Oryza sativa Japonica Group: one gene and its partner. The protein of the gene in region 1 interacts with the protein of each later gene in a biochemical or structural test. Links are inferred from orthologs where the notes say so. Each region holds a gene or a part of one and is shown on either strand. Other genes may lie near its edges. The genes, in order: probable protein NAP1 and protein PIR.

Region 1 (14,900 bases):
GTGACCTCGAAGATGGACCAAAAACAATACTGGATAGGCAACGCAAATAAGTATCAATACCATTCAATTGAAAAATTTGCAGAGTCCTTCCGTACCTCGTACCTCCCAAGACTCGTAGAAAATGATCATTTTGAATCAACTAATGCCGGAAAGAGCAAGGAGGTAAAAACAAGCACAAGTCGCATGATCTCCAGCTGGAATATTTTCAAGGCATGCTTTTCAAGGGAAGTGCTGCTCCTAAAAAGAAACTCTCCAGTGCATATATTCAAGACCATACAGATAACTGTTCTCGCTTTAGTGATCTCAACTCTTTTTCTCCGGACAAATATGAGACATGATACTGTACTTGATGCCAATAAGTACATGGGAGCACTCTTTATGGCTGTTGTCATAGTAAACTTCAATGGCATGACTGAAATTGCAATGACAATAAAGCGGCTCCCCATCTTCTACAAGCAAAGAGAAATACTAGCATTGCCAGGATGGGCACTCCTTTCTTCAGTATTCCTCCTTAGTCTGCCAATATCATTTGTAGAGACAGGTCTTTGGACCGGCTTAACCTACTATGTGATCGGCTACGCACCTTCCTTTGTCAGGTACTCCTCCTAGCAAGTTCTATATTTAAACAATAAGGATAAGGATTTTCTTACTTGAATAGATTGAAGTAACAGGTGGAAGTTTCTCTTGCTTCTGACAGATTTATCCAGCACTTTGTGGTACTTTTTGCCATGCATCAAATGTCAATGAGCCTGTATCGCTTCTTGGCAGCCATAGGAAGAACACAAGTAATGGCTAATATGCTGGGGACTGCAGCTCTTATAGCAATCTACATACTTGGAGGCTTTGTCATATCAAAAGGTTAGACGATTTTGCTTAGAGTACCTTGAAAAGTATGGCAACTCTGTACTACAGGAAACAATTTAAGGCTTATGTGCAGTAATGATACTCACCAGTTTGTACACTTGTCCAGATAACCTCCAACCATGGCTGCGCTGGGGATATTGGACGTCCCCATTCACCTATGCACAGAATGCAGTTGCCCTGAATGAATTCCTTGACGACAGATGGGCTACAGTAAGAACTCATTTCAACACTTGAGATAGCTAACCAAAAAGTAGAGTAAAATTCTTGATCAAAGCTGTTTAAAAATTCCTAATGATGATGATCTCTGCTTATAGGAATTTCATTTCGCAAATGCAAATACTGTTGGTGAAACGATCCTCAAGGTAAGGGGGCTGCTCACAGAGTGGCACTGGTACTGGATCTGTGTGAGCATTTTGTTTGGATTCTCGCTGGTCTTCAACATCCTCAGCATATTTGCACTACAATACATGAGATGTATGTACGCCAAGCTACACTAAGCCTCATAGATACTGAAATAGAAATACAAATGGTACTCACTCTTGTTGGTTATCATATGCAGCTCCACACAAGCATCAAGTTAACATCAATGCCACAAAGGTGAAAGTAGACTACAACAGCCAGATAGTTGGAAATGGCACGGCATCAACGGACCAAGTCATCCTCCCATTTCAGCCCCTCTCCCTTGTATTTGATCATATCAATTATTTTGTTGACATGCCTAAGGTAAGATCTTGACCACATCAGACATTACCAAATAGTTTAATCATGTTAACCACATCCAATCTGTTGCTCCACTCTTGATCTTAATCAACTGTGAATATCTTTGACAGGAGATGACAAAATATGGAGTAACAGATAAAAAGCTTCAGCTGCTACAAGATGTCAGTGGTGCTTTCAGGCCAGGGGTGCTAACAGCTCTGATGGGGATCACTGGTGCTGGAAAGACAACACTGCTCGATGTTTTGGCTGGAAGAAAAACTGGAGGATACATTGAAGGAACTGTAAAAATAGCAGGCTACCCAAAGAAGCAGGAGACATTCTCAAGGATCTCAGGCTACTGTGAACAGAGTGACATTCACTCCCCCAATCTCACCGTATATGAATCACTGCAGTTTTCTGCATGGCTTCGCCTTCCTTCAAATGTTAAATCTCACCAGAGAAATGTATGTGCATTGACCTCTTGTCCTTTTTCTCACATAGTTGGAAGCTCACATCAAACATAGGATCTCATGATATTTATGTTCAAACATATTTCAGATGTTTATAGATGAAGTCATGGACCTAGTTGAGTTAACTGGACTGAAGAATGCCATGGTTGGCCTAGCAGGAGCGACAGGCCTGTCTGCTGAGCAGCGAAAAAGACTAACAATAGCTGTTGAGTTGGTAGCTAGTCCTTCCATTATATTTATGGATGAGCCAACCACTGGTTTGGATGCTCGTGCTGCAGCAATTGTCATGAGAACAGTAAGAAAGACAGTAGACACTGGACGAACTGTTGTCTGCACAATTCATCAGCCAAGCATCGAGATATTTGAATCTTTTGACGAGGTATGAGTAAGTCAATAAATGAGTCAAAAATATTTTCCACTACAAAATCAAGAAAGAATAGTCCAGTAGTGGCAGGTGAATGACTGAACGATAATTGAAAGCACAGCACCAAAAGTAGTGCTTTTTGTCAAATCAAACAGCAAAACTAATTGACTTCACATTTATGCTCCCCTTTCTTCAATAGTAGCACACATTAAAATGTTCTTTTAACACAAGCAACCATTAAAGTGTTAAAGATAGTTGTGACAAGTAGAATATTTCAGGAACCACAGCTCAATTTACCTTTCCTATGAACAAGTACATAGGTCGTCCTTCTGAATTTGAGTTCAATCTTATTGATCGCAGCTTCTACTTATGAAGAGAGGAGGTCAGCTCATATACAGTGGTTCATTAGGTCCCCTATCTAGCAATATGATAAAGTATTTCGAGGTAAGATTACCTAAGATTGGGTTCTTGTTCCAAAATGGAGAGAAGAGGTCTTAAAATTCTTTTGTCGCAGGCTATACCTGGTGTTCCTAGAATAAAAGAGGGGCAAAACCCAGCAGCGTGGATGTTAGATATCAGTTCGCGCACAGCAGAATATGAGATTGGAGTGGACTATGCAGAAATTTATCAGCGCTCATCCCTATACTGGTAACGCAATACGATCATAAAGCAAAAATTACTATTTTGCTAACTTGTTTGAACAAGAAGGAAAAGGATAAACATGATGAAATCACACATGGTTTCTTCAGGGAGAACAGGCAACTAATTGATGACCTAGGAAAACCAGAACCAAACACAGAGGATCTACATTTTCCACCCAAATATTGGCAAGACTTTAGGGCACAATGCATGGCATGCCTGTGGAAGCAAAATTGTGCTTATTGGAAAAATTCAGAACACAACGTTGTCCGATTCATAAACACATTTGCTGTGTCAATTATGTTTGGAATTGTATTCTGGAAAATTGGCTCAACCATGTAAGTACGAATAGCTATCCAAATATTTTTATTTCATGAGAACTTGTAGTGCTTCAATATTGTTTTGGTTAAATGCTAACTTTGTTCTCCTGTGCAACAGTAAGGATGAGCAAGATGTATTCAACATACTAGGGGTTGTGTATGGGTCAGCACTATTTCTGGGTTTCATGAACTGCAGCATCTTACAACCAGTTGTAGGAATGGAAAGAGTTGTCCTCTACAGAGAGAAGGCGGCAGGCATGTACTCCACTATGGCGTACGCCATTGCTCAGGTAATTAATATATAGATCTGTATAAAAAAAACAACTATTCTGAAAAATAGAGGATTTGAAATGGACTCTAAACACAAATGCTGGATTCTTGTGTGCAGGTGGCAGTTGAATTGCCTTACATGTTTGTCCAAGTATTCATCTTCTCAGCGATTGTGTACCCAATGATTGGGTTCCAAATGACTGCCACAAAGTTCTTTTGGTTTGCCCTCTACATGGTGTTAAGTTTCCTGTACTACACGCTCTATGGGATGATGACAGTAGCACTAACACCTAACATTGAGATAGCAGCTGGGTTGTCCTTCCTCATCTTCATCTTTTGGAATGTCTTCTCTGGATTCATCATTGGAAGACAGGTACTACTACCCTGCTACTCTGTTGTTTCAAGTCCCCAATTTTTGTCAAAACCTTAAATTTAGGTTCTACTAGGGAGGATAAATCTAAAATTCTCAGACCTCTTCCTAACAAAATTGATAAAAAGTTTACCCTTGATAACCCCACAACTTCATAATCAGAGATCGTGTCTTAGATTTCGTTTTGAACATTTGTGTGTGCTTGCGAAGAAAAGAAAATTTGTATGTTTGACTAACCTGATGAACAACAACAAATGATGCAGATGATCCCGGTGTGGTGGAGATGGGTGTATTGGGCAAACCCGGCGGCATGGACGGTGTACGGGCTCATGTTCTCGCAGCTGGGAGACCGGACGGAGCTGATCCAGGTGCCAGGGCAGCCAGAGCAGACGGTGAAGGAGTTCCTGGAGGGCTACCTCGGACTCCAGGACCGCTACTTCAACCTCGTCACCAGCCTGCACGTCGCCATCATCGCGCTCTTCACCTTCCTCTTCTTCCTCTCCATCAAGCACCTCAAGTTCCAGAGGCGGTAGCACGGAATTGATGCGTGCAAACTGCAAATATACACTAATAACCAATCACTTAACTGTACAAATGTAAGAGAACATAACAAAAATGCACAACATAAGGATTTGTTACTAAAATATGTAAACCGTAAGGGATTTGCATGTGTAATAGCAGTATAGAATTGTTGTAGTACCATGGTCGAGAAATATACAAAAGAAAGCAAGTGTATATGTTGGAAGAATTTGTAAAGATATAGTTTCGTTCGCAGATTGATTGCAATGCAGACCGTGCCAATAGTAATGTATAGCATATTGAATTGACAAGTAGTAACAACTTACCGAGATGGGCGAAGAGGACTCCATCCAACTGGATTCAGAACATCCAAGTTCCTTACACTCTTTATCACAACTGGACTTTAAGAAACTATTTGTTGGCTGTTGCAACACAATTTTTCTGAGCAGCTGACACGTTTCTGGTCGTTCGTTACATCTGGGATAGAAGGCAATTATACAATCCATTTACATTAACAGACATACAACTAGCACATTGCTAATTCATGTAGCAACAGAGGAGGGTTTACTTACAAGAGCAATAGGTACCATACATATAGACTTACAAGAGCACTAGGTACGTAAATACAGCTAGAATACATATTACTTCACGCAAAGGAGCTAAATAACATATATGCTCAGATGCTCTACAAAGACGAATGGGAGCATTGACTGGAGTCCACTCAAATACAAATTGCTAGATACTGATGCTGGCAAACTATGATTGCCAGTAGAATGCTGTTGTTACTTGTTAACATGATCTTATTTGTAGGATAGGGGGCCAGATCTTGACACAGCAAATCTCTGTAGTGAGCCTGAGCCAGCCCCATGGCTTCCAGAACTTGAACCCTCCACAAACTTCACTTTCCTGGTTCCAGTGTAATCTAGTGGCCCAGATCGCCTCATGCTTCGGAGTTGCCTCTCTCCAGTTCTTCTATCCCCTTCATAACCTTCATCGTACTGGGACCCAGATGAACTGTGGTATCCAGGCTCGAAAGTATGAGACCTGGGCGTTGTGTCTGCTCGATTTTGCTTCATTGATGGTGATGCATGAGCCAGAGATATCAGAGGGGACTGCCTTGGGGATGGCTCCATTGGTTCTGTGGCCATCAGTGAAGCTCCATATAATTGATGGTAGATTGAACGCAGAATCGTGTAAGGTATGTGAACTTCTAAGGTGCTCCTTGGGAGGTAGGGGGACATCTCACAGAGTTGATCGAGGAATATTAGCTTTGGAACAATGTATGGCCTGTAAGAAAATTGCAACCAACGCAGACCACAAAACCATTAGCATACCAAAATCATAACTGATTTTTACTAAAGTATTTGAAACAAGACAATCAATAATTTCCTGGCCTCCAAGAAAACTAGAATCTCCATCTATCTAGATGGCCTATTGGATTGCATATTCATTTGGTTTTAGTTTTTGCTTAAATGGTTTTACTGAGAAATGGCAATTTAGTGGATCATTAGCATGCTGGGGCAAATGAGCGGCATATGCAGCACCAAACAGTAAGCAATATCTAGTGTTACACCTAGTATCTGTGCCACATCCAGTACGCTGTCCAACATGGCTAAGCAATTCATTCATGCAAATGGACTGGGATAGAGGGTAGTATGAGAAAACCTAGCCAACCAAGATGACATTCAGGAACAAATTGGACAAACATAATACTTTACCTGCTAGTGTCATTCCATGAATCCAGGACTAACCCTGCAGACAATTTGACATAGAGTTGCATAGCAGATTTAATATTTGCTTCAGCTGAGACACGGCTCAGTAATTCAGGCTCTTGCAGCTCATCCATATGCCCATTTGAAAGTGAACTTCTCCGATGTTCCCTTTCCATCCTAGTGTATTCACTTCCTCCAACCACAGCACTTACACACCTGGGAGAACACAAAGAGCAGTTACATGCAATTCAGAGCACCCAATATTAACGCTTACGCCCTCTACTGTCAATAGCCTACGATATAAAAAATATACTAATATCGATGCTAGGAGAAGCTTTAGGAACTTAGTTGTGCATAATAGCTGTAAGCAGGAAAACAAATTATATGACAATGTTTCCTGTTAGTTTTTTCTGCTGCCTTGTAAATTTGTTACCATCCATAGTAAGGAAATTTGGCATTTCCAAACTTGTTTTTAACACTACCATGCAATATTTCCAGTATCTAGACTCTCAAAATTGGCAAGGAATTCTTCAAAGACACATTGATACATACTTAGAGAAAGTACTAGCAAAATATTCGTTTTTGCAATGGATTTCAAAATATATAACATAAGTTCTAAACTTAAAAATTGTATATGTTTCTCATGGAAAAAATATATAACATGTAAGCAAACATCAAACCAGAGATAGCCAAGAAGATCTCACAAACTCTAGAGGTAGCAGTGGAATGGCATATTCACCACGATCACTAGGTTTTTCTCTTTCTGTTACATGAAGGAAACCACTAGGTTTTTTATCTGAGATATCAGTAGAGAGAGAGGACGGAAGGGGTGGGATATTTCTATACCAGTCAAACATAACCGATAGGTAGCAAGTGCTCACCTTGCTAAGCAATGCAAATTGTTACTGAATCCACCTGTATTGACATCATAAGCAGTAGTGCTCCACATATTGGATGCCATAAATGCAGCGCAAAGATATGGAAGTAAGGTCCAAGAATTATCATTAGCAGAACCTATTTCTGCCAGAATAGAATGAACCCACTCGGCATCATGTTTGTCACCGACACCAACACTGCTAGCAACCCTTCTTAGTCTAATGATCTCATTTTTATCAGGTACCTCTTCTGGCAACTGCATAGCTAATCCCTTGAGCAGAGAATATATGAGAGGTACTTTCTCTTCAAGAACAGCTCCAACAGCTTCTACCAACAACCGGCGAAAAGTTATTGCCTGACCTGCCTGGATACAGAAGTCAGCCAATGTTTCGATGTCAATTATCTGCTTTAGATTTGCATCTCTTTCAATCCTATCACCAGAGTTTACACTTCCAGCAAGGCCCTCTAAGGCATCGCGGTTTGACCTAAGCGCTGAGTCAATGCAATTTAGTAGAGCTGATGTATGTTCCCTTAACAACTTATCCAGCCTATCTACTCCATAACCACCAAATAAACGAACAAGTGCTTTGAGTTCTCTTTTATCTGTGAATGCTTCCGCTAAATATCCACCACCAATAGGCTGTGAGCTCCTAAAGCAATTCTGAGATGCATCAAAAACAACTCCAGTGCGAGATGCATCCTTTACGAAGTTATCAATATACCAATTAGATATTATGTCTATGGCAGATCCTCCTCCATGTGTTTCTGTTGGTGTCTCAAATACTTGCAGGTTGGGAAATGGCCCAGTAAAACTCTCTGCAAGTAGCACTTCCCGTATACCTTCAGTAAGGTCCATACTGATATGCTGCTCTGCCAGATGGATGATGCTCAGGTGTCTTCTTAGAAGAGATTCTATGACTGATGGTCGTTGAAGGCAGCTATCAGTTCTAATCATGCTGTGAAATCTTCTCCTAAAATTACCTATGATGCAGTCCCTCATGTACTGTCAAACAACAACATTTTCATACCCAGTTTTAGAAACAAACAAAATATGCATAAAAAATCTATTAAAAAATAATAGACAAACCATTAAGATGAAAATGAACTTATCTAGGCGGTATTATATATATTAAGAAACATGGTCTAGTTGTCTTTCCAGAGAGCAACTTCTGGAACAAGATATTTTCTTTTTGTTTATGTATGTAATCAGATCCTTTTTCATCTCAAGATTATTGTTTTACAAGAAAATAATAAATTTAGCAAGCCGCCATCTTAATAGTCATGAACCACCATCCAAATTATCATTACCACAATACCTAACATATCCATCTCTGCTTATGATAAAATAAATGAAGACTGGCACATCCAATCCTTATCCTTGAATGTGATTATTTGCATCAACAGTATAATACACGGAATAAATCACAACTTCTTGACATAAAAGAAAGGTGGTGGTAATCTTTTTTTGTTACTGTACCTCTCGGAGAATAAAAACATGATTGAGAACACAAATAGGCTCCATGTCATTTAGCACAGAGCATAGACTTGTCAGCCTTTGCATAGCAGCTTCCAGCCTGTTTTTTCATACATCCACAATTAGAGCAATGGAACCTCAATAGTATTTAAACAGTGCCAGGAAGTAGAAAATTGACTGACATCTTAACTGAAGAACTATTATCAGGATAGCTCTCATGCCCTGGTGCTAACAAGCCTGAAACAGCTTTTGCTCTTGTTGCATTATTCAATCGGATAGCTGCTTGCTCTGGCGAAAGCTGAAGAATAGAAAGTGAGGGCATTAGATATAACAGATAGCACAACAACTATGAGTTCAGAAATTCTGTACCTGCATCTCTAATGAACCAAATCCACCTTCTGAATCTAGAATATTTATCAAACCTTCCAATCCACCCATTATAGACTCGATAAGGGACTCAACATATGAGATAGAATCTCTGCCAATCTTGTTGACCTACATGTTAATCAAAGGAGCATTCACAAATAAATATTTCAAACAATAGAGACATGGCATTTTTTTTGGAAACAATAGAGACATTGCATTAACATAGCTGAGATATGTTTTAAAAAAAACTCAAATATTATTGATGACACTGTAAAAGGTTGGTTTAATAGGTTTTTCCGAACAGAGACAGAACTAGATGCTTTCAGGTTTTCAAGCTGCAAGAGAACATATGCATGCAACAAAGGTCTAAGTCTAATGGGTTCACACAGGTTGAGAAAACTGTTTTCTACAACCTAATTATTGATCTTCGTGATGGTCCAGAGTTTTTCATGTTCCAGAGTGTACCCAAAAACTTTCTTGCTTTTGAATCAACTATCGTAGCATTAGAGGCCTATCGGTTGAGTAAAGATCAATAATGATGCACCACCTCATCCTATTCACAATTCCTCAAAACTAGCCATTTTGCAAAAGCATGTCTTCAGTATTCTTTGTACATCAAAATAATGCTTGAACTTAAAGACAAGTGAGTTAAAATATGCACCTCTTCAGGAATAATGGAAGAAGCACATTCTGGAAAGCAGCAAGCTGCTCCAAGCCACGCACAACAATGTTGGGGACGGCCTTCTGGACCAAACATTGTGTTTCTGAAGACCTGCAATTTTCAAGCATAATTGAGCTTGCTAACACTGAGAAAACACTAGTACTTGATAAAAAGAAAATGAAACTATGAGAATTGGATGAAAATATAAACAAAACTGGAGTCACCGTTGTAAGATGCTGATGGTAGAAGTAAAGTTTTTTCAGGCTTCCATGTTTGGAAAGCTGGCCCTCAAGTTCATCCACACATCTGCAATATAAGTACAGTGAGGACACATGATTCCACGGATCATTAGAAAAAAGGACATGATTCTGAAAAAACATGGATCACCAGCAAATCATAATATATTAAAGCTGAGAGTGAACATTTTCATAGATACCCTCTGAAATCCAGTTTACATCTAATAGTAGAAAATGCTAACTAAAAATGCAGAACAGAATCAACAGATAATCTAGAGAAGGGCAACAACACATAAGACAAAAATCTATGTTCTAGAATCTACCATACTTTGCAGCACGGCGGATGCAACTTTTAAAAAAATGCCATATCTGTACAGTTCCATTAATTATCATGATTACTAATGAATTCATAAGCTAGGAAAATATGTTAGTTACATCTGTGTCATGACATTGAAATAATCAATTGAAAGCAGCAAATTTCCCACCTAGACCAATTGTAAGCAGCATTGCCTTCTGAGACCAGGCCCTCCTTCCCAGTAGACACAGTAGCCTTCTCCAAATGTCTAATATTTACAGATGATCGTGATGATGTGACAATCATCAAGATGGATAGCCAGTGCTTCCGCAAATCCTGCACCATCAGCATATGTTTTTATCAATTGCTAAAAGTAAATTGTATGGAAAAATTAGCATATGTATGAACACACTACACAGTAAATCAATATACTTGGTTGCTTCATCGTCATATGTTTTATTGCAAGCGTCAATAGTTTCATGTGCAAATTGCGACAATCAGTAGATAATTGTAATTGCTTTCATCAGAAATTTAATTTACAAGGAAAAAGATGTTTGCTCATGACAAAAGATTTTCTTTACCCTCAATCACTAGTGTGCAAATAAATAAGAGGTAGCAGTAACAGAAAATTGCATGGGAAAGATCAGCTGAGACTGAATTAGCACTACCAGAAAGTCATGTGCATGTGTGTGGTGTATGTATGTGCACATGCTCATCAATGATATGAGTTGAAAATTATTAGGGCCATCTCTTTTCTTCTAAACTCGGTGTTTTTTTGTAGATGGCAATAGGGAAACCCTTACAGTTAAGTCACAAGTAATAGCAGGGACATTTTCCCCCTGAGGTTTCGGAATGTTTTCCAGACAATGGAGGACTTGCTGGAACAGGCCCTTCAGTGTGGCATCTAGGTCAAGAGCAACCATGCCTGGAGTACCAAGTAAGAACCGTATTCTTCCAGCACAAGATGACAAGTATGATAATGCATAACCTTTTATTGCTGCAAAAAGAACATAACAAAGAATGAGTTAGGCATCATCATTTTGTATCAATAAGTTATGGCATATATTTCTCTATTCTCATTTTCCAAATGTAAGCGAGTGTCAGCAGAAGGGGGGGGGATGAAAGATCTCCTTGACAGCATATATGAAACTAGCCGAATATTCCGCACAACTGTGCATGGATATAGTTCAGTTCTTATGCTAGATTATAATTATTTAGATAATTTACAAGAACTTGTCAAATATGTTCAGCAGAGAAGGTGCAAAAACTTTAGGCCTGTCTGATGTAGCATTACTAAGGTATAAAGTTTAATGCATGAACAAGGCAATTTTCAGACAATACAGAAGAAATTGAAAGAAAAACTTGAATAAGTCAACAGGTCAGGAAGAACCTGCTATATATTTACGAACCAGGCAACAAAGTTTGCCCATTCCATCTAATAGGAATCCAATAGTTGGGTCTGCCGCATCCTAAAGGTTTTGATGACCAAGTCAGAACGGCAGAAACAGGGAATGATGATATCCAAATGAAAATGAGCAAATTTACTAACAATGTCAACTGTTCTCCCTCGACTAGATTTCGATGATGCAATCCCCACATGCTGGAAGTACCAAACCACCTCACATTGAGCCAAAGCAAGAGCAGAAAAGACCATCTGCAAGAATATGTGAATGTTACTATGCCTTGCAATTTGCAATAACAAGGTATTAGGCACAGACAGTTGATCTGCATTTGGCTGAAATTTTATGCAGACCCTTTCATCAATAACTATTACAGTATTACCTATAAATCCATATGATATGTTCCCATCATACCCGAATAAGTTTTTCTTTAAAACTTCTTGGAGCCATTACGATACAGAGATGTTAATATTCGAAAGGACTAGTGGGCCAACATAAAACTAGCATCAAAATGTTAAGATCAGAAATATGGTAGGTTGACATTGCTGAAATGTTTATGGCAGTCCCAGAAAAGTAATACTCCCTCCGTTCCAAAACATAAACACTTCTAGATTTGAAATTTGTACCCAAAATATAAGCACTTCTAGAGTACTAATTGTCCCATTAACCACCATCCCACAGTCCCACGTTGAACCATCCCTCATTTAATGAGTATCATAGTCTTTTCTAATCAACCATAATCTTTGCTAAAACCCGAAGTGCTTATATTTTGGAACAGAGGGGGTAGTACATAAAATGTGAAATTTTCAACCAACCTGAATATTAGGAGCAAGAAGACTAGGTTGATCTGTGAAAAACAAAACCATCCTTCCAATTTCCTGTTTCAGAAGAATTCTCCTTTCATGATGTAGAGCATCAGCTGACACCAATGCTTGTTCATGTACTTCCCTGCAGGAGGAATAATATGCATGAAGGAGAGGACATACTTTTTAGAATAATTGAACAATTTCTCATTTTGAAGTTAGGTTGCAACAAACAATAAAACATAATTTGCCTCCTTGCAAGCGGATCACTGTATTTGCAGCAGCCCAAAAAAATTGGAATATCCCGAAAGCTTTGCTAAATTATTCAAAGAAACAATAGGTTGCCCAAATTTCACTTAAAAGGCCAAGATCCCTTTTCACGTGAGTTATTTTAGGTCAGATGTCAAAGTAGGGAAGAAGAGGTTGCGAGGGACATACATTAACATTTTCTCAACCTGCTTTGCAACATTGTATTCCAGATCAGCTTCCTTTTGCTTAGTACGTCCAGATTTAGCCATTCTCTTCGATTCTAAAACTTTTGGAAGGACATAGAGTTGATAGTTCTCATGGAGTAAGATGTACTGCATAAAATATTAAGCCTAAATTAGTATATCAAACAAAAAAAACTAACCATGGCCACCACATGAGATTTGATCTTTACCTCATCTCTGAACAGGGAGAGTACTAAATTTTCTTTCAGAACAACCTGAAAAGGCACTAACAACAAATGAAGTACAGGACACTAGCCAACAGACATAGCTGTCTGAGAAAACAAGAGGGTATATGTGCCAGTGTATGGTCGTGTGTAAGGAATCCGTGCATGTTACCACGAGACATCATATCAGTTATCCTTCCACATTTTTAATTATCTAAAAATATCAGTTAATAAATTACTTAAATAGAGAGATTTATTGTTAAACTGCATGAATACATTTCAGGGAAACAAATACCAAAAGAGAAGCACACAACGTACCATTGCAACATCTATACTGGTCACTCGAAGTAGTTCATCTGGACAAACAAGATATCCAAGAAGAACCCATTCACGATATGATGTTACATTAGCCAGGTCTTGGGCCCTCTGAGAGGAAACAGAATCATGATAATTGTCCAAATTTTAATACCTCTCAATATTATGATATCGCTAATAAATGAAAGTATATGTAAATCTGATGATAATTCACCCCTAGCTAATGAAATAATCAAATAACTAACCATAGGATGAGCAGAGTTTGTAAGGATGTCAGGATAACGTGGATGAAATGGACTGAGGAACCCTTCATTTCTTAACTTTTTTGTATCAGTTGAAAGAAAGATAATTGGGCCAACAGCCTCCAGGACCTGAATAACAATAGTATTACAGTTAAAGCACATAAAATGAGTTATGAAATTGAAGCCACAGCTAACATGAATGGACCATACAAAGAACCTAAGCAAAAAGGTCAAATAAAATGGATATCAGATTTGAATACATAAAAGATGTGTTAATTATGCCTCTCTTGATTGAACCTGTGCAAGTTTGTGAAACCATGCACTGTCTATGAAAGCGCACATTTTCCATGGCACTCTTTGAAAACTATAAGTGGTCTGGGAATCCATTTGCATGTGCTGGTAGTAGTAGTATGAATCGAATCATCCATGAACCATGCTGCAAAGTGTCGCTTGGTATAACAGTTGTCACTACAGTCTACAGATATATCCCAGACTACGTGACTGACTCTTAAGCATCAGTTGTGTGATCTCTTTCACAGTCATAGTTGAATGATCAATTGCATTGAGTGATGAGAGCAAGCAAGGCTTGCATAATCACAATTCACAAACATAGGGTTAACACTATGTTATAGTTGAGAAAGTTTTACATCCTAGTTATTGCTTCCGAAGGAGATGGGCATCACCTCTCCAATACGTGGGCTCACAAAATTTAGATCTTCATGCAACCCCTTGACTGGTGGATCATATAAGTCCACAAACTGAACCAATCTGTGTATGATAAAACACAAAACTTAGTGGAGAAACAAGTGATAAAAGAATTCCATAAAAGGAATCTAACTGGTAAGAGCAACACAATTTATGAAGTCATTGGTCTTCGCAATGGATTCCCACAGGGATGCAGTTGAAAAGCAAGTATGTAGATAGCTGTTGCTACTAACAATAATAAAACTATTAAGTTAAAAACCCAAAAACATGCACCAACTAATGAATTTAGAATTAATAAACAAGATATTTGAATTCTAATAGTTATAAACAAGCAAGGGAAGTGTCGGCAATGAAAAGTCAAACAGTCAGTATTCTCTGGCCTACAAATTTTGAACTATACTTTTGCTACCTAGTTATTTTCTTTTTTTCTCAGAGGGAACCAATTATCATCAATAGATACATTACTACCTGTGGTATTCAGATGTTTGAGCTGATTAGGAAAGTATACAGGATAGCATTAAAGGTTTTGATTTGGGTGGGGGGGGATTTGTGTTTTCTATAACAGAACACCCTTACTGCCTTACCGATGATAAAATTCACAATCACGGCCACCCTTTAGCATGATATGCAAGATATTGTAAACTT
Region 2 (15,860 bases), on another chromosome or scaffold:
TTGCGAACCCATCCCTGGAGATTGATGATCATGCATGTGTATAAATTCAGACTAAAGTTTCCGACATAGTAAAGGATCAAAGGAATTCTAAATTTCCAATCATTATATTCATGAATTTGATGTTTGAAATGTATCTTAGAATTCTGAGGCCTATATTGATTGGAATTAAGCATTAGTACAATTATCATTCTGGGTAAAGAAAAGAAAAGGGATGCAAGGTTTTCAATAAACAATGCACAAACAATTTCAAACATAAGGAAATGGAGTAGAAGAAAAATATTTTTTTACTGAAAATACTACCGGCCTTATCTAGTAGATATATTATATTATCAAAAGAATATTTACAAAGGAGAGGAAACAAAACACAGAATTACAAAGTTTGTAACCAGGACAAAATAGAAGAACTAAGACACTAAAATAATTGGCTGCCAGCACTGCTTTAAAAGAAAGAAGACCTTTTCATAGTCAAAAAATGTTGTCGATCCATGTTGAGAATCTGAAGGTGGTTCTTTACAAGGGCGCGAAAATTTCCAGGCACACTGCTCCCATATCCTGCCAGTCCATCGGCTAAGAAGCTGAAAGCCTTCAACAACAATATCATACATGTTCCCCTTAATATCTCTTGACCAGTCATTATCCGCACCATCTGATGACTTCAATATTATCATCTGGAAGCACATTGCAATTTTCATTGTAAACACACATCACAGAACACAAAAGAAAAACAATCGTAATTATCTCAGAGTTAATTGAAAAATTTAAGTGTAATCTCTTTTTACACTTTTCTTCTTGCATAGAACTCCACAATAATGATATATCACATATACATGAGACAATGTTTTGCGGTGCTTACTATCAAGGACATAAACGGTAATGGTAATCCGTAGTGTATCAGTTTCACGGTTAATATTTAGGAGAGTTACTAAAGCACTGGAATGAAAACTTTACATGCTAACCCAAAAATGACAATAACTTCACTTCCACCTGGTTCATTGCAGAGGCAAAACGTATAGAGAAGTCATCATGCTCTGCTCTGATAGTTCCCATGTGGTTCAAAATCAAGTAATGCCTCTGATAGGTGGTTTAGTTAAGGAATTTCAAGCATAACATGACCAATTGCCACACATAAATTTAGGTCACTTAGCACATGATATATCAGCAAGAAAAAATAACAAATATTTTCTGAACTTTTTATCTACATAGATGATGGGATTCTTGGATAATAGCCACCTCTGTTCAGGTAAAAACAAATATTGTAGTATACAATAACAAAAACATGTTTAAAAGACACAGAAAAGGATATTCTTGTAGCTCTCGAGGGGGGATTTCATGAGGAGATGGAAGAGTAAGAAGACGGGTTTGACTGGAAAAATTTTGAAAATACGATGATAGCTCCTTCAAAATTGCAGCAGGAGAGAGATGCAGATCTGGAAACGCTGGAATAACTGGATCGTTCTGCCAAAAATAAATAAGAAAAACATTAAGTAAAATGGTAAATATATCCTAAATAGCACACATAATACTCACTCAACCCAAAGAAAATAAGTAGACTATCTGGACAACTTGGTAATCGAACCTTAAAAATATTGAGAAGACGGTTCATCTTGACTCTCTTATAGAGTGACTCACTCTCTTTCTCTGAAGAAGTTGCTAGAACAACCAAAACTGGGAGAACACGAAGTAGAGTATGGCGCTCGGGAAAAAGAAGAGCAAAGTCTAACTCAAGTGATTCCACACAAAATACTATAAGAACCTGTAGAATGTCCTCAACACTATTCTTTAAGTCAAAGGAAATCAAAGAAAATAACCATAGAAGGCAAGAAAAATTAAGTTTTCCAGTGTGGTACATGCAGAATCAATAATCATGTATGCTTGTATTGTAAATGACTATTGATGAATTATCAAGACTGTTCAAACGCAAGTCCACAATCTACAAATGTGCTGTACACATCTGCTACATAGGCATCAATGGGAGATAATTCAAGTAAATAAACTTCCAATAACAATTTTCAAGTGTAGAACTATATCCCTACAATACTCACAAGAAAGTTGGTGTTTTCTTTAGTCAATTCCTATAACTTATACTTTGTCCTGCAGCTGGAGGGCATGGTTACTATGGCAGCAAAGATCCTTGTGGTAGATATATTTTATTTATTTTGAGAACATATTATTTTCCTACTGCTTACGGAAGGGGTTTCTAGAAAGAAACCATATATAAGATTTATACAACCATTGAAATATTCTTCATTTATTAAAAAAAAAAGTGGGATACGTATTTGTTCGAAACATCTCGGCATGCAAATTCAACAAGATGGCCCATCTGGTGCTCAAAAAAATCTGCAAGTGCCAGCAAAGGATCAAGTCAAATAAAGATAGAAAGCCTTAGGTTAGGAAACAGACTACATTTGTTAGGAAACTAGAGATAAAGATTCAAAATGGGTTTCCATAATATTAGAGAATAGTTTCTTAGGGTCCTCCCTATATATCAAGGAACCCCATGTACCCCCGTTATCATTCAACAATGAATCTATTGAGTTAGTCCAGTAAGCCTCACAGTCTCTCTAGCACAACTGGAAAAAGCCTGCCGATCTAGTAGAGGGTGAGTGCACTATCTCGTGTCTTTGGACCCTTTCCCCAGCTGAATTCATGAACCAACATAACAAAATTTTGTAAAAAAAATGAGACATGACAAACGAGCAACCTGAAGATCATCCAGCTCTTCTCTCATAGTGTCAGTATCCTGCCACTGGGTGCTTACTTGAGTAAATGTTCTGCATGAAAGACAAATGAGATTATAAGCACTAATTAATTGTTGGATCATCTACAGGGGCAAGGACTAAAAAGCAAATGCGGCTGTACTTTAGAAACCATAAATCATATGAAAATATAATTTTCCATCAACAAGTAAGTAAAACTATTTAAACATTCCTAAGTTATCATTACGGCCAGTTTAAAATAATCCTACCTATAAAAACAATTTTATTTGTTGATTTTGTTCACAGATGTTGAATGATGAAGAATCAACTGAAATCAACAAATTTTATTGTGACAACTCATCTCTGACATTCTGTGAGAGGAGCTCTCAAAATTAAATGTTAAAATGATCATGTACCTCTTGTACCATGAAAAATCATTTGGTATACTTGCTTTTGCATTCTTAAGATGATCAAGCTGCACAAGGACATCAAGCAACTTCAGCATAGACCTGGATTGAAATAAAATGAGTGACATGAAGGTAACATCATCTGGCAGATTATATACTGACTACTGAGTTTGAACAAGGTTGTGATATTAATTGCGCTGCTAAAAAAATAGTAATATATAATGAAATAAGTTATATACCCTATCCAGGCATGCAAGTTTCGTGCAGAAGAGAGATTAATATAAATTCTTCAGGGAAGTCAGAACTCAGAAGATAAAATACAGTAATGGATCCCATTTATAGAATTCATGTTCTTTCTTAAACTAGCATAAAATGGATCTCGAATAAACATGCCATAAGTTCTAGACTTAAATAACTGTAAGTACTTACTGCTCTCACATTAAGTATTCACATTAGATCTACTGGCAATTGCACATAAATATGCACAAAGAATTCAATCTACAAAAGACATATACGTCAACATAAGTCCATTCACAAAAGATCTGAAGTGAGGTGTAGAGCACACATACACCACCACCACCAATAAAGGAACAAGTCCATTTTCAACATTCACCATTTAATCGGGGAAAAAGAATCTATGTTCATATCTGCTAGATCTTTAAGGCCCCCCGTGAGTATTATAGAGATAGGGTTTTGAAGATTGATGCCAGAATACTTCCCACTTTGTTTAGAAGTATAGGGCCAGTAACTTAGCACGATAAACAAGCATATGACAAAGAAAAGAGGTAAGGAACAGTCACTAGGGAAAAAGGACAAACCAAAAATGAGTTATTGTGGGTCCATTAACCAGTCTTTCAGGCCTAGAAAATCTCTGCATATCAGCTGCCAACTGCACAAGATAACACAGGTATAAAAATATGAAACAGGTACTATATTATTTCTGAAGGACTTAAACTGCTCAAAAGGTAATATAAGCTATGATGGGACTACAATAAAAATTTCAGAGACCAAAATATTTGTATGTGAATAGATCTGATAGTGTTGCAGGGGAGTAACAGTTCCCCTAAGAAGATGAAGATAGTTCCAGCTAGTTATATGGGAAAAGAAGTCTTCAAGTTAGGTCTGTGTCAACTTAGAAACCCCAAAATGAGAAAGAATTGAACAATCAGTCAAAAAATGATAATCTATTTGCACCTTCAACTAGGTTTTCTTGACAGTTTGTGATTTCTTTAGAAAAAAAGATCACCTGTTTGTTTGTCAACTCAGGTATTTATTGCATTTAATTTAAGTATACAACAAGACAAATATAATTAATGCATTACGACATGAGCTGCTTCCAAGTGAATTGCATTTTCTGTTTGCAGAACCTGTCTGTATTTATGCAATGCTATTAATTCCTACGATCTTGAGAAGTTCAAAAGGTAGCAAGTTTTGGTTCTATATCTGTGGAAATACGTTCCTCACTTCACATGGTTTGTTTTTCAAGCTCACATTACACTTAGAGCTGTATATAACCCAACTTAATTGGTAGTTAAGTTTAAAGATGCCATAACACATCGGCACAACGGCAACTAACATAGACTGATAGACATCACCACATGCACGCATGATCATCATGTGGATCAATCGGGAACTTTTTAGCTCAGATTTTAAGTTTCAAAAGTCTTTGGACAGGACATACTCATTTACTATTTATTAGCACAAGAAATACAATTGGCTAACAATATAGAAACTGAAATCACTTATGGAAGCAGATATGAGATAACATACTACCTCCGTCCCAGAAAAGAGTGCATTTCTGGCTACAGACTTGGTTGTCCATGTGCTTAGCCAGAAATGCACTCTTTTTGAGACAGAGGTAGCAGAAGAGACAGGTATTATGAAGTAATTGAACACAGAAGAGGTACTACCTTAGAAGCAGCAGATGCTTGCCATCTCTGGATTTCACGTAAGCGGCTCATTTCCAGGTCAAGAACTTGATATGTTTCAAGGTACAAATCTGCTTGACTATGCTTCATTGAATCGGGCAGCTGCATTCAAAGTTCTATAGTCTATGATATTCAAGATCACAGTAGGGAATCGTGTAGAATTTGCACATCACTTGGAGAATTATGTAATATGTACAATAAAATCCATTTGACACTAAAAATAGAGAAATGAACTCAAAAATGAGTACAATGTGCTCTATAATAGAAAGAGGATTCTGTTAGTTCCAAAGTCCACAATATGATACTTCAGCAAATTAATCAACTCAAGTCTCGAACAGAACTACCTCAGAAAGGATATGAATAAATCAACATAAACTACAGCCGGCTCAGGATTGGCACACAGAAAGTGAGAAAATAGAGTAACAAATCAAAGAAGAAAACTGATACTGAGAGACAGAATGACAGCGAAAGTTAATTGTTGAAAAATAAGGTCTTCTTCATTATTACCAATAGTAAATCTCCAAATGACTTGCAAAATGTCGAATGTCTTAGAATTGTGAAATAATATAACTACTTGGATGGCAATCAAATGAATGTATAGTTAGCTGAAGCAAACCTGAGGTAGCGCTTTAACACAGCTACGATATGTGTACAGCAAAGAAGCCATTTCTTTTCCCTCTTGAATCAGAGTATTCTGTAGTACATTTTTCATCCACAGAAAGAATAGAAGAAACGATGTAATCATCTTCCATTTAAATCCATGTAAAAAGGATTGAAAAGCAACAGGAATGCACTATACAATCACAAATAAATATACGATTACAAACCAGCTGGTTGATCGCTTTTGTATCTTCTCCTAATGACAGACGATAAGCAGCAACATCACTGTATTCTGAACATTAAAGTGCAAATAACAGATGACAAAAACAACTATCAGAACTCGGTATTAATTAAACTACCGAAGCTATTGTTTCAATAGTATAGTTACTTTCTAAGAGCAGAAAAACCAATCAAGACTTTGATAACATGGTAGATGTTTCCAACTTTTCACGGTGTTGCCATCAGGCATCAAAGAAACAATTAACAGCAAAATATAGTTAAAAGTGACAATGACAATAAATTCATCGTCATGCTGCATACCAATAGGACTATTAGTTGCATATCTTTCACTCGATAGGAGCACAGCCAAGCCCTGCACATCTGGTTGCTCATCCTGAAATTTAAAAATATGTGAGGTTAATATGAAAATCAGGATCAAGCAAAAAAGGTGCAGATACTACATAAAAGATCACATTCATGCAAGAGTCTGAGATTAAAATGTGGTGATCAAACTATAACAAAGTGGATTGCTACTTATAGCACACTAACTAAGTATGTGTTTCGTAAGGTTAAAATGTGGTGACCAAACTATAACAAAACAAGAGCATATGGATCTGTTCCACATTACTTAGAGAGAAACATGAAACTATAACTTATCCATAAGACAACCGAAGGTAATGAAATCCTATGTTTCCATATTCTCCTACATTTGAGATCAAAACAGGGAATTCTACTAGTTGTGGTTGACAATGAGCTTGACAACAGCTAGAGCTGGCAAACCTCACACCTCTATATGTCAAGCCATGGGGACCACGACACATCCTTCTGCATTTAGACACAGTCCGTTGGAAGCTCCCGTTCAACATTTCATTAGGGTCGAAGCTAAACAGATCTAGAAAAAATTGAAGTGTACCCAACAGAAGAGCAGCACCACTGATCAACACCTACCCAGATGATTGAAGTTAGGGAAGTCTAACAGCACAAAATGTGCAGCTCTATGCTCCTTTAGAGATTTAAAGTGGAGCAAAAATTGGACGACATTAGTTTAACCACCCCATAATTCAGGCGAGCGACCAGCGAGAAATCCTCTGAAACTCAACTTGGACTGCAACAAAACCAAACCGACCCCCAAAACCCTAGATTCGCACTTCTCCTAGGGTATTAAACTTTGAATACGAGCACACAAACGGACGAACACTCATACTGACACTACCAATTCGCAACGCAATTCGAGCAACGCAGCAAAACCAACACCAAGTCCCCCGCAGCCCGGACGAGACGCACGGGCCCCGCATTCCGCATAGCGTTTCCCAGGTCGAGCAGATCGGGACGGAATTTTTGGGGGGGGGGGGGGGGGGGAACGGGAGCAGCAAGGGAGGAGGGAGAGCCGTGTGGCTTACCTCGAGGGAGAAGGTGGAGAGGGCGGCGATGGCCTCCTCGACGGGGATGGCCATCCTCGCCGTCGCCCGCCTCGCGGAGCCCGGGGGCGGCGGCGGAGGAGGAGGAGGAGGAGGAGGAGGAGGAGGCGAGCTCTGCCGGGCGGTGGGGAGTGGGAGCGAGGTGGTGGTGGTGGAGACAGAGTTCGTGCGGGGAGCGAGGGAGATGCAAACCAATGCAGCCACCTACTCGTGGCAGCTAGCGTCGTAGTCGTACTGTCCCCGTGAACAGTGACGAGGCCGTGGGGACGGTGGGGCGAGTGGAGAGAGGTGAACAAGCCGTGAAGTGCACTCGAAGTAAACGGTGAAAGTGGACGGCGTTACGATTACGATTTACCTAATTATGGACTTGGGTGGACCGGTTTGTTGTTGTAGAATGGTGTTGGGCCTAGTTTTAATTAGGCCCGAGTTAACCAAATCTAAATCGAACTCTGGGCCGATTTGTAACAACTTGGTTCTCTGGACCTGTGTACGGCCTGCAATATTCAAATCAGGCTGCAAATTGGTCAGTGGGCTAATTTGCACGTACTGCCGTAGTCATTTTGCACCGTACATGTTCATACAGCATTGTTGTTGAAACCAAAGGTGATGGGTCTACATGATTCGATGCTATTCTCATCATGTTGCATGCATTGTCCTTTTATGTGGTGATGATCACAACTTCAATCATGTAGACATGTGCTACTTCCATTCAGAAGTAATGTCCATAACTTCACTCTCCAGACTTCATGGTTAACACTTCAGATTATTGCCCGATATTATCACACTTCCATTCGGTTTCTCTTTGCTCTTTCGCCCCCAAAGAAAACAAACATCAAGGAGAGGTTAAAGGCCAACTCTACCTTCTCCTGACACCACCAAGAGACAGAGGATGCCGTTAAGCCTGGTCTCCCTCATCTCCCTAGCTCCCATGTCCTTGCATCGTTGTCTCGTACGCCATTGATGCGCAGTGAAGCCGAGCAGCGGTCCACCACCACGACGCGGTCCAATCCAATCCAATGGCGTGGGGGCGCCGCCGTCCGTGCATGTGACTGTTTGACGATGCCTCTCGCTCGCCGCCGTACTGCGTGGCCATATGCAAGGCAAATGCATGTACTCCGCCCGCACAGCAGCGTAGTACTGTTGCAGTTGCAAGGACCTACTACCTGTGATTGTCCCTGCACAACTGCATGCAAGCAGGGCTATTATTCAGGGCTTCGTATTATTCAGGGCTTCGTGTGCCATGATTTGTCGATCGATACGACGCTACAGGACACTAGCTAGCGCGCAGGGCAGCAGTAGTACCTACGTAGGCAGCACCACGGCTGCACGGACTAGGCGTTTTTAAGAGCCGACCGATGCGGCCTCTCTACAGGTACTAGTACACTACTGGGTGGCCCAGATCACGTGCAGAGATGGGTATAGATGATTAGGTACACAAGAAATGGTTGATCATGTCGTATTAGCTCGCTTTTCAGACCAAAATAAACCAAGCTTGAAGTGCACTAGACAACTACTAGCTAGGGAAGCAATGGATCTAGCAAATGAAATGACAAAGGGTCCATCGCCAATTACAGCTCGTTGGTCTTTCTTTTATTATTGTGCGAAAGCCTGCAATTAGACCAACATTTGTCACTCTGTTTTACAGATCAGATCAGCGGACACCTGCATATGAGAGGCTGTGTGCCGCGTGCTAGCGACAAACGCGAGACGTGGAAGCTTCAACGCCTCAACGGCGTGCACGCGAGAGAACAGGGGACGGGACAAAACGCCGGACGAGACGAGAGATGCGTCGCGGTCCAAATGAGGGGCAGCAGCCACGGCGAGAGAACGACCTGAAATCATCGTGCTGCTGCTTTGTCGTCGAAAGGCCAGGAGGGCATCGAAAGATTCTTCGGTTTCAGCTGTTGGATGCATGCATGGGCATGGCCAGGCCAGCGAAAGACAGCGGCGATGGCTAAATTACTACAGGTTCAGAGGCAGGCAACTCATCCCGAGTAGTAACTGGACCGTACAGGCACAGCTGCTGGTGTGTCATGCATGATTAACAACCTCGTTTATCTTTTCGTTTATACTTATACTAATTAATTAAAATTAATTTTTTTTCAATATTGAATTTAGAGTTAATTTTAGATTTATTTCATGTAGTTTATTTTTTAGCATTTGATTTTAGATCGTTAGGTGACGGAGCGTGGGGCTCCTCACCGGGAGACCGCGCAGACCCCCCTTTGCCGGTTCGGCCGGGGGCGCTAAGTGAGGTTCTTCGCCCTCGATCTGAGGAACGTCAGCGAGAGAGGAAGTGCACAAGACACGGGCGACGTAGACAGGTTCGGGCCGCTGAGAAGCGTAACACCCTACTCCTGTGTTCTGGTGGATCTGTGCCTGAAGGAATACAGAGAGCCGGAGAGCGAGAGAGAGAGAGTTCAGGCTCTAGAACCCATTCCCCAGAGTCCCAACCCTCCTTCCTCTTTTTTTCCCCTCCTCCTTCCCTCTCCTAGGCCTGGGCCTCCTTTTTATCTGGTCAGGGGTCACCACATGGGCCTCTAGCTGCCTAAGAAGGGAAACATGCTTTTTACAATGAGGGCTAGTGTCGGTGACATGGGGCTGGGGGTATCGTGACTAGAGGCTTGGGTAGCCGCGGTCACCCACGTGGCCTGACCCCCTCGGGGGGGGGGGGTCGGGCCCGAGGATGACGTGGCCACCCCTCCCTCTGTCTCCCCGAGGGGTCGGACCGCCCCCGTTTCGGCCCCGAGGGCTGGGGCGCCCCGACCCCCTGTGGTTTTGGCGCCACGTGTGTGGGTTAGGTGAGCACAGCGGGGCTCACCTAACCGCATTTATAGCAAGATTGGACGAGCGCACCACGCCGCATTTAATGCGGCGCAGCACACGCTTATCCGGTCCGTGACCGGTCGCGGTGTGTGACCGGTCACAGACCGGTCAGATCGCGGGTTAGGTGGCAACAGGCGGCCTGTCACACGCCTCGCCCCGTCCCGTCGGAATGATGAGAGCTTCCTGGCTCTCGTCCCTAGCCGGAGCCGGCGTGCTAACTCCTGGAGTTGGTATGTCAGTCCCGGTCAGATCCATTCCAGGCTTCAGCACAGGTATGGCAAGGAAGTCGCTGGCCATTAAATGAAGGTTGAAATGGGCGTCCACCGGGAAAGCAGGCGAGCGGGGCAGGAGGCGTGTGCTCTGCTTGTCAGAGGTCACTTCCGGCTGTAGACTAGCCCTCATTGTAAAAAGCATGTTTCCCTTCTTAGGCAGCTAGAGGCCCATGTGGTGACCCCTGACCAGATAAAAAGGAGGCCCAGGCCTAGGAGAGAAAGGAGGGAGGAAAAGGGAAAAAAAGAGCAAGGAGGGTTGGGACTCTAGGGAAGGGGGTTCGAGAGCCTGAACTCTCTCGCTCTCGCTCTCCGGCACTCTGTATTCCTTCACGCCACAGATCCACCAGAATACAGGAGTAGGGTGTTACGCTTCTCAGCGGCCCGAACCTGTCTACGTCGCCCGTGTCTTGTGCACTTTCTCTCTCGCTGACGTTCCTCAGATCGAGGGCGAAGAACCTCACTTAGCGCCCCCGGCCGAACCGGCAAAGGGGGGCCTGCGCGGTCTCCCGGTGAGGAGCCCCACGCTCCGTCATCTGGCGCGCCAGGTAGAGGGCGCGCGTGTCTTTCTAAGCCCTCGTCCTCTTTCGTGTGCGCCAAGCCTCTCCCGCTCAGCCCAATGGCCGAACGGGCAGTGGCGCACAGCCTCTCTCCGAACGCTAGCGGTGACGACGGGGAGCAGAACCCGCGCCGTCGGGCTCGCACCCCACCGTCCCCCTCTCGCCGAAATCTTGGGCGGGGGAGGCGCTCGGGGAGGTCGGAGGATTCGCGACTTCGCCGCCCGCGGGCGACGGGGGAGGACGGCGAGACGGGGCACGTCGCCGCCTCGTCTACGGCGATGGCGGCACGTCCCAGGGCGCGCTCCAGGCTGCGGGCGCGCTCCTGCGTCACCCGCCCGTCGTCCCCGATTCAAAGACTCCAGCCCGACGTTGGCTGGATGACATGGCCGATTTGGTCATGACGGCGCAGCAGCGCCTAGGCGCCGGCGGGCGGTCCTCCGCCACCGAAGCCTCTGGCGCAGCCGCAAACTGCATTCATTACCCCCATAGGAACTTATTGTTATACGACAATGCCTTTCGGGTTAAAGAATGCAGGTCCTACTTTTCAACGTACTACTCGAATTTCTTTGGGTAGCCAGATAGGACGCAATGTTGAGGCCTATGTTGATGACTTGGTTGTGAAGACGCGCAACCAAGAGACCTTACTCTCGGATCTAGCGGAAACTTTCGAAAGTCTCCGCTCCGCCCGCATAAAGCTGAACCCCGATAAGTGCGTGTTCGGCGTGCCTGCGGGCAAGCTTCTCGGGTTCTTGGTCTCTGCCCGAGGCATCGAGGCCAACCCCGAGAAGATACGAGCTATAGAGCGGATGCGCCCCCCCAGCAAGCTTAGGGATGTGCAGTGCGTCACCGGCTGCATGGCCGCCCTAAGTCGGTTCATATCGAGGCTGGGAGAGAAGGCACTACCCCTATTTAAGCTCCTCAAACGCTCCGGGCCGTTTACCTGGACGGAGGAGGCTGAGCGGGCCTTCACTCAGTTGAAGGCGTACCTCAGTTCTCCCCCAGTCCTGGTCGCCCCAGAGCCGGATGAGCCGTTGCTACTCTACCTGGCGGCAACCCCGCAGGTGGTCAGCGCGGCGTTGGTCGTGGAGCGCGACGAGGACAACCCTCACTCCGCGCATCCCCACCCTGTGTCGACTCGACCCGGGAGAGAGCAGGGAGGAGAGGCCCCCGAGCCGAACGGCGGCCCAAGGCCCCCGACGGCCGGAGCTGGCCCTCCGCCTACTTGTCCGACGGTGCCAGGCGCCCCCGACCCCCAGGATGGCCCCGGGGCCACTGCGGGAAGGCCGCGCCTGTCGCCCTCGGACCCCGAGGGCGTCGGCACAGAAGCCGAGTGCGCCCCGCGTGGCCTCTCGGACGAAGAGCGCCCTGGAGATGCGGCCCCTGGCGAAGAGGATCGGCCCCGCCGAAAGGTGCAGCGGCCCGTCTACTTCGTTAGCGAGGGCCTCCGGGACGCCAAGACCCGATACCCTCAGGCCCAGAAGATGCTTTACGCTATTCTGATGGCTTCGAGGAAGTTGCGCCATTATTTCCAGGCGCATCGGGTCACGGTGGTTACGTCTTACCCCCTCGGCCAAATCTTGCATAACCGAGAGGGTACTGGACGGGTGGTGAGATGGGCAATCGAACTCTCTGAATTCGATTTGCGCTTTGAACCACGCCACGCGATCAAGAGCCAGGCCCTCGCCGACTTTGTGGCGGAGTGGACCCCAGCTCCCGAGTCCGTCTCTGCCCCCGAGGCCAGCTCGGGCCCCTCGCAGCTGCCTCACACCGCCTACTGGGTGATGCAGTTCGACGGCTCCCTGTCTCTTCAGGGCGCCGGTGCGGGGGTCACGTTGACCTCGCCGAGCGGAGACGTCCTCAGATACCTGGTCCGCCTCGACTTTCGGGCGACCAACAATATGGCGGAGTACGAGGGACTCCTTGCGGGACTCAGAGTGGCAGCTGGACTGGGGATCCGCCGTCTCCTGGTGTTAGGCGACTCCCAGTTGGTCGTTAACCAGGTCTGTAAGGAGTACCAGTGCTCTGACCTGCAAATAGACGCTTACGTGCGCCAGGTGCGGCGTATGGAGCGCCATTTCGACGGGATAGAGCTTCGGCACGTGCCCAGACGGGATAACGCGGTCGCCGACGAACTCTTAAGGCTCGCTTCCTCGCGAGCCCAGACCCCACCGGGCGCCTTTGAAGAAAGGCTTGCCCAGCCGTTGGCGCGACCCGACCCCCTAGGGGAGACGGACGCGCCTGAACGGCCCCCGAGGCCCGTCGGAGTCCAGGCCTCGGGACCCGAGGGGAGCGCTCCCAGCTCCCCTAGATTGATTGCTTGGATCACTGAGATCCAGGCGTATCTCGCAGATAAGACTCTACCCGAGGACCGCGAAGGGAGTGAACGCGTCCGGCGCATCTCCAAGCGCTACGTGCTGGTGGAAGGGACCCTCAATCGGCGCGCGGCTAACGGAGTCCTCCTGAAGTGCATTCCTCGGGAACAAGGCGTCGAGCTTCTCGCCGATGTCCATGAAGGCGAGTGCGGAGCCCACTCCGCCTCACGCACCTTGGTTGGCAAGGCCTTTCGTCAGGGTTTCTATTGGCCGACGGCTCTCAACGATGCGGTCGACCTGGTCCGGCGGTGCAGGGCGTGCCAGTTCCACGCCAGGCAAACCCATCAGCCGGCCCAGGCCCTGCAGACCATACCTCTTTCGTGGCCGTTTGCTGTCTGGGGGCTCGATATCCTAGGTCCGTTCAGGCGGGCCCCGGGTGGGTTCGAGTATCTGTATGTCGCTGTCGACAAGTTCACTAAGTGGCCCGAGGCTTATCCGGTCATCAAGATCGATAAGCACTCCGCGCTTAAATTCATCAGGGGCATCACTGCTCGGTTTGGGGTGCCTAACCGTATCATTACGGATAACGGCACCCAGTTCACTAGTGAGCTCTTCGGTGACTACTGCGAAGACATGGGCATCAAGCTCTGCTTCGCCTCCCCCGCCCACCCTAGAAGCAATGGCCAAGTGGAGCGCGCCAACGCGGAAATCCTCAAGGGCCTCAAAACCAAGACCTTCAACATCCTCAAGAAGCACGGCGACTCGTGGATCGAGGAGCTGCCAGCGGTGCTCTGGGCGAACCGAACCACGCCAAGCCGAGCAACCGGGGAAACGCCTTTCTTCCTCGTCTACGGCGCGGAGACGGTCCTCCCATCTGAGCTCACCCTGAGGTCCCCTCGGGTCACCATGTATTGCGAGGCTGATCAAGATCAGCTTCGCCGAGACGACCTCGACTATTTGGAAGAGCGAAGACGGCGCGCGGCCCTCCGAGCCGCGCGCTACCAGCATAGCCTGCTGCGCTACCATTAGCGCCACGTCCGGGCCCGATCACTCTGCGTCGACGACCTCGTCCTACGCCGCGTCCAAACGCGTGCTGGACTGAGCAAGCTCTCACCAATGTGGGAGGGTCCGTATCGAGTGATCGGCGTCCCCCGGCCGGGCTCCGTTCGGCTGGCCACGGGCGACGGCACAGAGCTGCCTAACCCGTGGAACATCGAACACCTTCGTCGCTTCTACCCCTAGTGGGGGTCGGGTGTCATGTCTCGGGCTCGGGCCAACCCCGCACCCCCCCCGGGCGTGCAGGGTTGGCCGGGGGCTACCACATGCATATACTTACCTTTTTTCTCTTCCGTATTTCAATAAAAGCATTTTCGATTTCCTAAGGACTGTGTCTGTGCCATCGTTTCCTTTTGAAGAATCTTGGCTTGAATTAGCACGCTCGTGCTCGACCCTGCCCTCGGCGGCCCGGGTCGGCTAAAATCGCCAAATGGGGCCCAGAACCGAGCCGTGCCCCGGGGCGTGGTGAACTCCGGGGGGGGAATCGGCAAAGGCCCACAATCGGGTCATCCATAACCCTCGGTCACCGCGCTCCCGGCCTGGCCAGTCTCGACACGAGGATCTCCCCAGGCACTAGCCCCGACCCGCGCCGTTTGAGGCTGGGACCTGGGCACGAGCCCTTGTTCAAGCTAAGACACAGAAGGACCGCGGCACAGACCATCCTCGTCTCATACACGCAACAAACAGAACTGACGCAGAAATTTCCTCTTTACTTGATTGCAGATTAACTCAGTCTATACAAGAAGGGGGCCCGAAGGCCTCGGAAGAAGAAGGAAAAGTTATTAAGATTGGCGGAGGCCTGGGGGCTCACTCCGACGCGCCCGGGTCGCCGGCCTCGTCGTCGCTGTCGTCCGCACCGTCGTCACCGCCCTCCTCGTCGGAGTCGAGCGCGAACGCGAGCCGAGGGGCCGTACCCTCGAAGCTGTGGACGATATGGTCGGCGGCGTCCCGGACCTGCGCACGCGCGCCGTCCTCGGTTCCGGGAGGGAACTCTTCCAGCGCTACCCACGGGGAGAAGTCAGGGTCCCTGGCCTGGTAGCTTGCCAGTACGAGCTCCACCGCCCCCCGGGCGAGGTCCCTCGAGGATGACTTGATCGTCTCCTCGAGCTCCTCGGGGAGCCGCTCGAGGGCTCCGGCCATCTCTGAGAGGCGCTGGGCGAGGGCCCCCTGATTGGCGGCGTACTTCGTGTACCGCCCGCCCCAGAGGCCTGCCTGCCGCCCGGCGCGGTCTAGACGGGAGACGGCGTCCCGAAGCATGCCGGGCCCTACCTCGCTCGCCAAGCGGAGGGCCTCGACCTCCCCGGCGGACGAGTCCAGCGCGCCCTGCAGCTCGGCGATGGTGTGTTCGGCGGCTGCGAGGCAGGCGGCTAGGTCGCCGAGGCCCGCGGCCGCCCCGCCGCTGTGCGCTCTCGCGTCCAGCTCCTTCGCCCGCGCCTCGAGCTCAGCGGCCCGCTGATCCAGTGCGGCCCTCTCGGCGCGGGCGCCTTCCAGATTACGGCGCGCCTGCTCCTCCCACGCTGCCTCGCGGAGGAACAGGCTGTCCGCCAGCCGCTGCGCCGCGGCCTCGGC

What was found.
Region 2: the proteins of probable protein NAP1 (region 1) and protein PIR form a complex in vitro, tested with the Arabidopsis thaliana proteins (2 studies listed by BioGRID). The link is inferred for Oryza sativa Japonica Group from reciprocal best matches to the Arabidopsis thaliana genes GRL and PIR121.

What each region holds. Positions count from the first base shown.
Region 1 is NC_089042.1:27,419,863-27,434,762, forward strand, and holds the end of probable protein NAP1, read right to left. Parts: coding exon 14,840-14,900; intron 14,319-14,839; coding exon 14,234-14,318; intron 13,680-14,233; coding exon 13,554-13,679; intron 13,420-13,553; coding exon 13,312-13,419; intron 13,045-13,311; coding exon 13,000-13,044; intron 12,920-12,999; coding exon 12,777-12,919; intron 12,484-12,776; coding exon 12,351-12,483; intron 11,790-12,350; coding exon 11,685-11,789; intron 11,605-11,684; coding exon 11,526-11,604; intron 11,133-11,525; coding exon 10,939-11,132; intron 10,472-10,938; coding exon 10,326-10,471; intron 9,911-10,325; coding exon 9,829-9,910; intron 9,716-9,828; coding exon 9,605-9,715; intron 9,073-9,604; coding exon 8,947-9,072; intron 8,876-8,946; coding exon 8,760-8,875; intron 8,678-8,759; coding exon 8,581-8,677; intron 8,107-8,580; coding exon 7,109-8,106; intron 6,444-7,108; coding exon 6,234-6,443; intron 5,803-6,233; coding exon 5,316-5,802; 3' UTR 4,978-5,315; downstream 1-4,977. Other genes in the region: aBC transporter G family member 45, read left to right, coding at 1-596, 698-858, 971-1,074, 1,179-1,338, 1,424-1,587, 1,695-2,027, 2,122-2,412, 2,758-2,841 and 5 more. UniProt on the Arabidopsis thaliana protein: Involved in regulation of actin and microtubule organization. Part of a WAVE complex that activates the Arp2/3 complex.
Region 2 is NC_089037.1:2,433,196-2,449,055, reverse strand, and holds the start of protein PIR, read right to left. Parts: upstream 7,471-15,860; 5' UTR 7,305-7,470; coding exon 7,251-7,304; intron 6,245-7,250; coding exon 6,172-6,244; intron 5,924-6,171; coding exon 5,859-5,923; intron 5,726-5,858; coding exon 5,648-5,725; intron 5,134-5,647; coding exon 5,014-5,133; intron 3,993-5,013; coding exon 3,922-3,992; intron 3,206-3,921; coding exon 3,113-3,205; intron 2,772-3,112; coding exon 2,702-2,771; intron 2,338-2,701; coding exon 2,273-2,337; intron 1,773-2,272; coding exon 1,577-1,772; intron 1,456-1,576; coding exon 1,304-1,455; intron 1,079-1,303; coding exon 985-1,078; intron 669-984; coding exon 456-668; intron 1-455. UniProt on the Arabidopsis thaliana protein: Involved in regulation of actin and microtubule organization. Part of a WAVE complex that activates the ARP2/3 complex. Interacts with the active form of RHO-family GTPases.